Arabidopsis thaliana: one gene and its partner. The protein of the gene in region 1 binds, or shares a complex with, the protein of each later gene. Each region holds a gene or a part of one and is shown in the gene's direction. Other genes may lie near its edges.

Region 1 (5,214 bases):
AAATTTATATCAAAGTGGCGGTGTCCATGTATACAAAAATCTAATGTTGACGACAAGTCGTTTCATGTTAACAAAAAAAATACCGACTAGTCACATCTCTACAAAGTGCAGGTAACGTTTTAAGAAATAATTATCATAATCCGTTGGCAAAAAAAAAAAAAAAAAGACTAAAACAATTTAATGTATTGGTCAAAAAACAAAACTTCTACACACGATCTAAGACTATATCCATATTGATAAGATGAATTGAATCGATATATATTCTTACTTTAACAAAAAAGAAAGATCATTAGAGTTATCTTGTCTTACTAAAAGTCTTAGATAAAGACATAAAAATGGAACAAACATCATTGGGAATGCAACATGCATGTACATATTACATATAGTAAATATAATATAGTTAAAAGCGAAGTCATTATTATATGACTAAACTAAGATAATTAAAACATGTAAGCACACATTATCGGGAATGTATTGATATTAAAAGGGCACCACGTAGGTCAGGGTGGCCTCTCAAACCCCCCAAGGGACAAAGCAGCATTAGGATTGTCACTAAAGTACTAACCATGTGTTATTTTACGATATTATCCCCATTTGGTGTTAATGGTTCCAAGTGTCAATGTAAATAACGTTGACATATATAAGCCGTGTTTTGTTTTCACGTTGTTTAGGAAGCCAACGAGGATTGGGTAATTGGATCCGAATCAGATTGACACTTTCTTCTTCTTTACTTTTCTTGCTCTTCCACTTGACAATACCAATTTAGGGCTTGGCTGGATACAAATGTTTTTATCCTTCTTCAACCCGTTATCCGTTTTACTAGACTTAAAAAAAAAAGAATAGTATGTGTAAATATGATACATGATATCATGCATTTGTTAACTACGATAAAAAAAATCGAATATCTATATTGTCCATTTTGCAGATATCCCTTTTAAATATCTAACTAAATATCTGTAAATGTGAGGTTTAAAATTGAAATCCGTATATTTTTATTGATATGCACAACGATAGTTACAATAAGTAACATGACACTAATAATCACTCCCCAAAATTTTTATACAATTAGATATAATTTTAAATACTAATATTCTATAAATATTTCACAATTTTAGAAATTTTGATACTAACCAATTAATGTTAGCTTTGGATAACGAATGAAGTTATGGCCATCTTATTTCTTCTGAGCCATCTATTTAGCCATAGCCATCCAAAAATTAAAGAGTATCTTATTCCTCCCATGTCCAGCTTAAGGGACAAGCCAGGGAATAGCGACACGTGTAAATTGAATGTCGATTTTGTAAAAGGAGGTAAGTGGGGTCTACACAGTGGCTGCAAATAAACGAATCATAACTAAACACGTGTCAAAGACACAGTCTTAGAGGAGTCGATGTAAGTGGGACCCAGCATGACTTATCTTGGTTCAGAATGTTTTCCCCAATGGATAAGTGTCTTTTTGTTTTTGGTGGGATGATGAAACCTTTTCTATTTACGTCGACGCAATTTTAAACAATGAGACTCTTTTTTTTTTGTGTGTGTGCAATCGTTTAGAGACTTGTTCACATGAATTAGGTGCCCAATCATGTGTAAATTGGTAAGGTATATGTAAAACTAACAATTGTTACACTTGCCAACTCCAAACTTAGATTTAATCAGCCTACTATATTTTGAAAATTTAAGAAGATACAAGTACTGATGCAAAAGTTGAAAACCAAAACCAACTCATATGGGCCATTAAGCAACTGAAACTTGCTCATATTTTTAAAATTTTAACCAAAAGGTTATGGGTTTTAGGCCCATTAGTTTTTTTCAGACTGAGAATCACGTCAAGTTACAGTAATTAGACATCAAACTCTAGAAACATGTTTGCATAACTTTTGTTGTCAAAGATGTTTTGCATAGTTTCAAAATCCGCTTTCACCTCAATTCTCTTTTTACGTTAACTAATCGACTATGGGAGACTAGTCTTACATTTTGGTCGCTAAAACTTTGTTTATGAATATATGGATTACCGAAAAATAAGGGACCATGAAATAACTAATAAATGACCAAATAATATATGATGTTAATTTTTTTTTACTTTTCAGTTTTCATATAATAATGAAATAACTTGGTTACTCTCTTTCCTCGCCGTAGTCTGAGTCTGAACCCTAAAACATCCCGCTTCGCTGCTCAGGACCAAGAATCTCAGGTACCTTGTTAACTACTCGCTGTAACTATTATCGATATCCATATTTCTTCACAAAATTCGATTCTCTTTCGTTCAGATTCAACTGATCTTTGCAACATGACGAGGGTTTATGTCGGGAATTTGGACCCACGCGTCACCGAAAGAGAACTCGAAGACGAATTCAAGGCCTTCGGTGTTCTTCGCAAGTAAGTCCTATCTCTGTACTCAATTTTGTTTCAAGCCATACGAATTATGACTCTGAATCTTAAAAATCGCAGTGTCTGGGTAGCTCGTAGACCTCCTGGCTACGCATTCCTCGAGTTCGATGACGAAAGAGATGCTTTGGATGCAATCAGCGCATTGGATCGTTAGTGTTCTTCTCATTAGACCTCTTAGTTACCATGTAATGTTTGTATTATTGTTTGGTCATTGAAAAGTTTTACTCTTGTGGCGTATACTTCAGGAAAGAATGGGTGGCGTGTGGAGCTTTCTCATAAAGATAAAGGAGGTCGTGGAGGTGGTGGTGGTCGTCGTGGAGGTATTGAGGATTCCAAGTGCTATGAGTGTGGTGAGCTTGGACATTTTGCTCGCGAGTGTCGCCGTGGTCGAGGCTCTGTGAGGCGTAGAAGCCCTAGTCCCCGTCGTCGTAGGAGTCCAGATTATGGGTATGCTCGCAGGTAACGATCCAACGGAAACATTCTTATTGAGCTGCTTAGATGAGATAGTATGTCATTAGTATGTCCATTGTGTTAACATATCCATTGAAATTGCACTTTGTAATCATGTATAGGGGCTGAGTTGTTAATGTTGATAGTACCTTTCTTGATGTTATAATCGCTTTGTGACATACATTTTTGTTCCTGTGGAATTGATTTTGTTCAGGAGTATAAGCCCGCGTGGAAGAAGATCTCCTCCAAGGCGTCGCAGTGTTACTCCACCTCGCCGTGGGAGGAGCTACAGCAGATCCCCTCCTTATCGTGGTTCACGCCGTGATTCTCCTCGCCGCAGAGACTCGCCCTATGGTCGACGTTCGCCATATGCCAATGGGTAAAAGTTCTTTTCTCTTCTTGGATTTAGGTTTACTTTCTCAATCTGCATGACTCAACTTCAGCATTGTCTATGTAGATGTGAATAACATTTGAAGTATTTTGATATAAGGTATATATTCGTTTGCGTTTCTGCAGGGTGTGAAACTGGACCCTGAAGAGAAAGAAGCTATTACTAAGCTATGATGCTATATCTACTCTGTGGCGCCTTTTAGGATAGATCTTTATATCTGCTATTATGGTATTAGCTCTTCTAGGTTTGGTTGTTGAGCATGGACATGTCATGGTATGTTCGAGTTTTATTAGACAATTGGATTTGGTGAGTTCTCCTTCATGCTGTTTTCCAACAGCCGTCTTGACTTATTCTCTATAACACGCACTGGCCTGCTGTCTTCACACAGCGTCCTTGAACCCCTACACTTGAGGTCGTTCTTTCGTATCCATAAATGTTTTGTCTCTTGTTGAATGCACTTTCCTTATTATATAGACATATCTAAAAAGCTCAACTGTTTCCACTCTTTTTCCCTTGTGAGGTATGATTTATCGGGGATCTCTTGGCAGCACAGCTGCATCTTACTCTCCCCACAACTTAGTTTTATCATGAATCTGCATCCTCAACTCGACCAACATCAGCTAGAATTTGCTTGTTACATTGTGTGACTTTTAGATTGCCCTGCTCTTTACTCACCACTCCTACCCCAAGTCTGCAACCAAGCTTCTATTGAGAAAGACGAATCTGTTTCTTCACCCCGTCCTCTTCCTAGCTCTCGGCTGCTATATCACCACTTGGTTTCTCTACTCACTTTTGTTTTTCGGTCAACTTTGTTACACATCTGTTGGTGGATCACACACTTACATTAAATTAAACCCATTTGTGGATGCTTCTTTTTTATATTGCTTGTGAAAAACGTGTTAGCTTAGTCTTTTGTGTTCATGATTTGGTTTCCCACTTATGCTTTTCTTTTCCCAATTAATCTCGACTTTTAATCTGTTCTTCTTCGGCCGCCACATGTTTTCATTTTAATACTTTTCTAAATTTGGTTTTGAGGCAATTTGGTTCAGATTTGTTGGTATACCAATTCTTACGTCAACGTCAATGAAGAAACGACTCCATATTTACGAATAAAAAACTGTAGTAGATCTGTACTCTCCCTTTTTCTTTGTAGAGAAGAAGAGAACTGTGAAAGAAGATGAAGATTGAGGAGGATCTAGGTTTCATCAACATACTCAAACGAGCAACAAAGCTTCTATGTGGTAACATCAATCTTGTTCTCTTCCTCTTCCTTTGCTCTCTCCCCCTCTTTTGTTTCTTGATCTTCTTCGAGCTTTCACTCCAAACCACTGTCTCACTCGCTTCTCAATACCTCGTTCGACAACTCACTAATTGGGATTACTACTACGTTCCTCAAGATGCTTCCGTCTTGGAGAATCTGATTCCATTGCTTATCCAGACATTTCTACTCTACTTGTTCCCGTACGGCCTCATAGACCTCTTCACCACCACCACAATAGTCTCTGCATCTTGGACTGTTCACACGTCGGAGGAGGAACCGTTAAGGTTCGGTCAATTGGTTCGGAGAACGGTAGAGATATGTCAAAACAGACTTGAAGGTTGTCTGATCACCTCTCTGTACGTCCTTCTCTTGTCAACCCCTGTTTTCTTTGGCTTCTTATTTGTAGCAACGAACTATTTCCACATCATTTCTCTGACCGGATCAGGCGAAAACTCATACTACTATTCTATAAACATTGAAGAAGATGCCGAAGGCTATTACAGAAGCAGCAGTGTCAACAGTCCGGTAAAGATGTTGTTTGATGCGGTTTTAGCTATGTTTCACGGTGCTATCTTTCTCGGTTTACTGGCGATGTTCAGCAAGTGGAGTGCGGGATGGAACATGGGTTTGGTTGTTTCGGTGTTAGAAGAGGAAGAAAATGGTCAAAGCATATATGGAACCGATGCCTTGACACTGTCTTCTAACTATGGAAAAGGACATGAGA
Region 2 (4,836 bases), on another chromosome or scaffold:
GTAAGGGTGATGTTTTGAACAGAGTAGATCATCATATATATATTCTACAGAAAACATAAAAAAAAAATAAAATCAATACATTTTGAAAGATTATACATAATTCTTAGTTTTTTTAAAACAAACATTTGAGAGGGATGGAAATGCAAAAAAAAAAACCTTTATAAATCAATTCATGTCAAAGGTATGTTCACTAAAAATGTATCTTTTCCAACAAACACATATGTTAAACCATACGTTTTTCCAACCTAATGTAAGTAACACATTTACCATTTTCTATTAATTTATTAATCAAGATCAAACATCAAAAAAATGTGTTATTACTTTTTAGTTTTTTTTTTTGCATTTCAGTTTTGTGTGAAAAAAAAAACAAGAATTGGTATCTCAAGAACGTAAAAGAAAATTATCATTACTATTTTATTATCTTTGGCTTCTACATCCAATTATTTACTTGCTTAATTTTATTCATCTGAATTATTTTTTGGTGTAAGAAGAATGTTTCGCCGCAAAAAAAAAAATCTGATCCGACATCATTAGAACAAAAAAAAACATTGGCGTTGAATATAAGCTGCTTCTCTTGTTCTTCTTCTACCTTACGCTTCTGACTGTTATTAGAGACTATGTAAATGGCTGATTCCGAGACTCCGTATCACCCCGACCCTGAGGATCTCCGGCGTATACCAGTCGATCTCTTCGCTTCCAAAAAGCTTCCCGGACTTTCCTCCGGCGATCTCGGATTTGCCGATTCTTCCGAACATCTCGTCTTCATCCTCCGCAAATCTTCTTCCTCCTTGAAATCTCTCCTTGATTCCTCCGGAGTTCCTCTCTTCTCCATCTCTCGTCTCCACGTAAGCCTCCTTCGTCCCAAATTTCATCGATTTTGGCAATTCTCATCGCTACTTGTTTAAATCTCATTATTCATTACATAGTCCACACGATGTTTATACTTTTTGATTGTTTGGGTTTTGTTAGTTAGTCACTGGCTTGAGATATATCATAAGAACACTTACAGATCTTTGTATATGTATTGGAATGTAGAATGGAGTGTGGGAATTACATAAAGGAGATGTGGAAAAGCGTAAGGATTTGGTTCTAACGGTGAAGCGGACATCGAAAAGATTCAGTAAGACAGAGTCAGAGGTCTCTTTTGCTGGAGAATCGTCCGAAAATCTTGTTATCAAAGGTGTTCCCTTTCAGAAATCTTGTACCATTTATAGTCAAGATTCCATTGTTGCACAGGTAAAGATACTCATCTTCTCCCAATTACAGCACTATTGAACATTCTATAGCTAGACAAGAGTCAATACCGTGTTATACTGGTTTTGATTACCGGGTTCAAAACTCATCGTTTGGATCATGCTTGCTGATGGATAAACAACCAACCCTTTGTTTCGTTCATTTGAAGTCGGATTCATTAGGCTTGTAAAATTTGCTTGGATTCTAATACACTTGTTTTAAAGATTTTTGTTGTTGTTGTTGTGTTTGAACATTTGCCTCAATCTGATTTATGTTCCTTTAAATGTGGTGGCAGACGAGTTTGATGTACAAGCTGAGACAGATTTACGTAGGGAGAAGCAAGTTCCGGTTAACGATATTTCCTGGATCCATCGATCATTCACTAGTAGTCGCAATGGTTGCCATATTTCTTCAAGGATGAAAGTGAAACATCCTCGATTTATTTTCTCAGTGTAAAGAAAAATGTAACACAGAAACAAAAAGGCATTTTAGTACATTGCATTTTTAATGCCTTTTGATTCAATCGGCTCACACGTGAATTGTATTATCTATCACATGAATATTGAGATATACTAAGGTCTAAGGTTAAATCTTTTTTCAGAACAAATTTGCAAGCTCAGCTGGAAAAATACAACATCATTTACATTATTTTAAAAAGTTGTTGAACATTTGAATCAAAATGATTCACAAGACTTTTGTTGGAATTTTGCAATAAAAAAATTGATCTCGAGTCTATAAAAGTCCAATCCCGACCACTCATTCTATTTCCGGTTCAATTCTGTCTAGCCGGTCAAATTCAAATCCGGTCCATCCGGTCGGCTCATTCACGTTGGTACAAAAGTTTAGGAAATCGAACCAACAAACTAAACGGCGTCGTTAAATAGTCTGATGTTGAAACGCAGCTATTTCTTTTACTCTTCTTCGTCTCTCTCATTCCCAGTTCCCACCATTAGGGCTCTCTCTAAATTCCTCAGTCTCGAGAATCTTCATCGTCTTCACGAGCTCACTCGAAGATGTTAACGGCAGATATACCACCGAATCAATCAATCTACATCCAAAACCTCAACGAAAGGATCAAGAAAGAGGGTAAACTTCTCTTCTCGTTTAATCTAATTCGTCAAGTAAATTTCCAAATTCTTAGATGTTGAAACCTCCATGAACTTCCTGTACCAATGATTCAAGCTTCTACAGTACTGAATGTTAGGGTTTTTGCTTGTTTTTAGCTTATATAGAGTGTTCGTTTCTAAATACTAGGGTTTCAGAATCGTATTGAATCTAGTGACAAGGTTATAAGGAAGATATATATGTTGGTGTTGTCTGTTTTCGCCATTGTATGGATAATTGTTATAGACGTGTGAAGTAGTGTTGGCTCAGGGCAGTATCATCAATCTCATGCTTTATCTGACTTGGTTTTTGTTTTCTCAGAATTGAAGAGATCTCTTTACTGTTTGTTCTCTCAGTTTGGGAGGATACTTGATGTGGTTGCTTTGAAGACTCCGAAGCTCCGAGGACAAGCTTGGGTTACTTTTAGTGAAGTCACTGCTGCTGGTCATGCTGTTCGTCAGATGCAAAATTTTCCCTTCTATGATAAACCAATGGTCAGTATTTCATCACTCTTGAGTATATCAATCTCTTTATAGTTTCCATGAAAGTGATCTTCTATGTGTTGTATAGATCGATAGAAGCAAATCGTTAGTGTGTTTGTGTAATTGATTACTAACAATTTGTTTTGGAACCTTTGACCTTTTTCTATTCCCAATCCATTGGTAGTCATATATGTGTTTAGATTTTGTTGCTGTTGATGAGTAACCAATGATTAGTATCCACTACCTTTTCTGTCTTGAGTATATCAATCTCTGTATAATTTCCCTGGAAGTGATATTCTGTGTGTTGTATAGATTGATTGATGCGGTAAAAGCAGAAATCCTTAGTGTGTTTATGTGATTACCAATGATTACCTTTGACTGTGTTATTCTCAATCAACATTTAGTTATATGTGTGTTTGGATTTTGTTGCTGACCTTCTCAAATCACATTCTCTTATGATTTCTGTTGTCAAAATGTTTGTTCTGTTTGATATATACATTGTTTTTATAACTAAATCTTACCTCTTTCGATTGTTTGTAAACTATTCAACTACTTCCAATCAGGTTGAGATTTATTATTATTCATACTTTTTATGTGATCTTTTAAGTGCAGCGCTTACAATATGCAAAAGCAAAGTCAGATTGTCTAGCTAAAGCTGAGGGAACTTTCGTTCCAAAAGATAAGAAGAGGAAGCAAGAAGAAAAAGGTTTTAAACTTTATTTCTTCTTTTTGCATTTTGTCGTAGATGTTGGTTCAATGATACAACTATAAAATTTTCACTTGCATCTAAAGTTAACAAACTTCCTTTCTTACTTTCAGTTGAAAGAAAGCGTGAAGATTCCCAACGACCAAACACGGCTAATGGCCCAAGTGCTAATGGTCCAAGTGCCAATAACGGAGTCCCTGCGGTAAGTGTTCTTGTTCTCACCTTCATCTTCAGAAAAATCTTCCATTGTTGGATCATGTGAACCAAACTATTGTTATCTGGAGATGATGCTGATGTTTTGCGTTTTATCTCTGCTCTTCTTAATGCAGCCTTCGTTCCAGCCGAGCGGGCAAGAAACAATGCCACCAAACAACATACTCTTCATTCAGAATCTCCCACACGAGACAACAAGCATGATGCTACAGCTTCTCTTCGAACAGTACCCTGGATTCAAAGAGATAAGAATGATCGACGCAAAACCAGGAATCGCGTTTGTAGAGTACGAAGATGATGTTCAAGCTTCCATAGCTATGCAACCTCTTCAAGGTTTCAAAATCACTCCCCAGAATCCAATGGTCATCTCTTTCGCCAAGAAATGATAAGAGTCTTGTTTTTGTTTGTTTGTTGTCCTTTAAGACGATAGTACTGGACCAACCAAACCTGGTGTGTATAACCAACCAACGGTTCTATTGGTTAACGGATTAATCCGGTTTTGGTTTAATCATTGAAAGAGACCCTTGAAACGCGGTTTCACACTTGACGATTTATCACAAATTAGGAGACGACTCATCAAAAAAGAATATCTTACTGGTCAACCATTTTATAGAAATATTAAAATCAAAAATGATATTTAGGCCAAAGTAGAAAAAGACAAGAAGAGAGAGAAACAAAAAAAACCTTGCTCAATACGCCACCGTCGTCGTCTTTAACCCAATCTAAAAGCCTCTGTTCTTTTTTAGTTTTATCCTCTTTTTCATTTCAAGATCAATTTCATAAAAAAGTTTCCTTTTTTAGCGAATCCTCTGTTTTAGAAATCTTAAAGTTGTCTCCTTTATTAAAGACCATCATGTCTTCCACTTCTTTCACCGACCTTCTTGGTTCTTCCGGCGTTGACTGTTACGAAGATGATGAAGACTTGAGAGTTTCTGGGTCGAGTTTTGGTGGGTACTATCCAGAGAGAACCGGGTCTGGTTTACCTAAGTTCAAGACGGCTCAACCACCACCTCTTCCGATTTCACAATCTTCTCATAACTTCACTTTCTCCGATTACCTTGATTCTCCTCTGCTTCTCAGCTCCTCACACGTAATAAA

What was found.
Region 2: RSZ21 (region 1) and U2B'' share a complex: the UniProt entries of both Arabidopsis thaliana proteins name them as parts of the spliceosome.

The regions. Positions count from the first base shown.
Region 1 is NC_003070.9:8,426,238-8,431,451, reverse strand, and holds RSZ21 (RS-containing zinc finger protein 21), read left to right. Parts: upstream 1-1,966; 5' UTR 1,967-2,191; intron 2,192-2,210; exon of another isoform or gene 2,211-2,267; 5' UTR 2,268-2,287; coding exon 2,288-2,376; intron 2,377-2,448; coding exon 2,449-2,537; intron 2,538-2,633; coding exon 2,634-2,847; intron 2,848-3,052; coding exon 3,053-3,217; intron 3,218-3,354; coding exon 3,355-3,361; 3' UTR 3,362-4,195; downstream 4,196-5,214. Other genes in the region: AT1G23850 (uncharacterized protein), read left to right, coding at 4,407-5,214. UniProt on the Arabidopsis thaliana protein: Probably involved in intron recognition and spliceosome assembly.
Region 2 is NC_003071.7:12,904,845-12,909,680, reverse strand, and holds U2B'' (U2 small nuclear ribonucleoprotein B), read left to right. Parts: upstream 1-2,015; 5' UTR 2,016-2,246; coding exon 2,247-2,319; intron 2,320-2,658; coding exon 2,659-2,831; intron 2,832-3,431; coding exon 3,432-3,525; intron 3,526-3,638; coding exon 3,639-3,727; coding exon of another isoform or gene 3,728-3,787; exon of another isoform or gene 3,788-3,854; coding exon 3,855-4,124; 3' UTR 4,125-4,336; downstream 4,337-4,836. Other genes in the region: AT2G30270 (LURP-one-like protein (DUF567)), read left to right, coding at 624-845, 1,036-1,236, 1,529-1,654; WRKY25 (WRKY DNA-binding protein 25), read left to right, coding at 4,592-4,828. UniProt on the Arabidopsis thaliana protein: Involved in nuclear pre-mRNA splicing.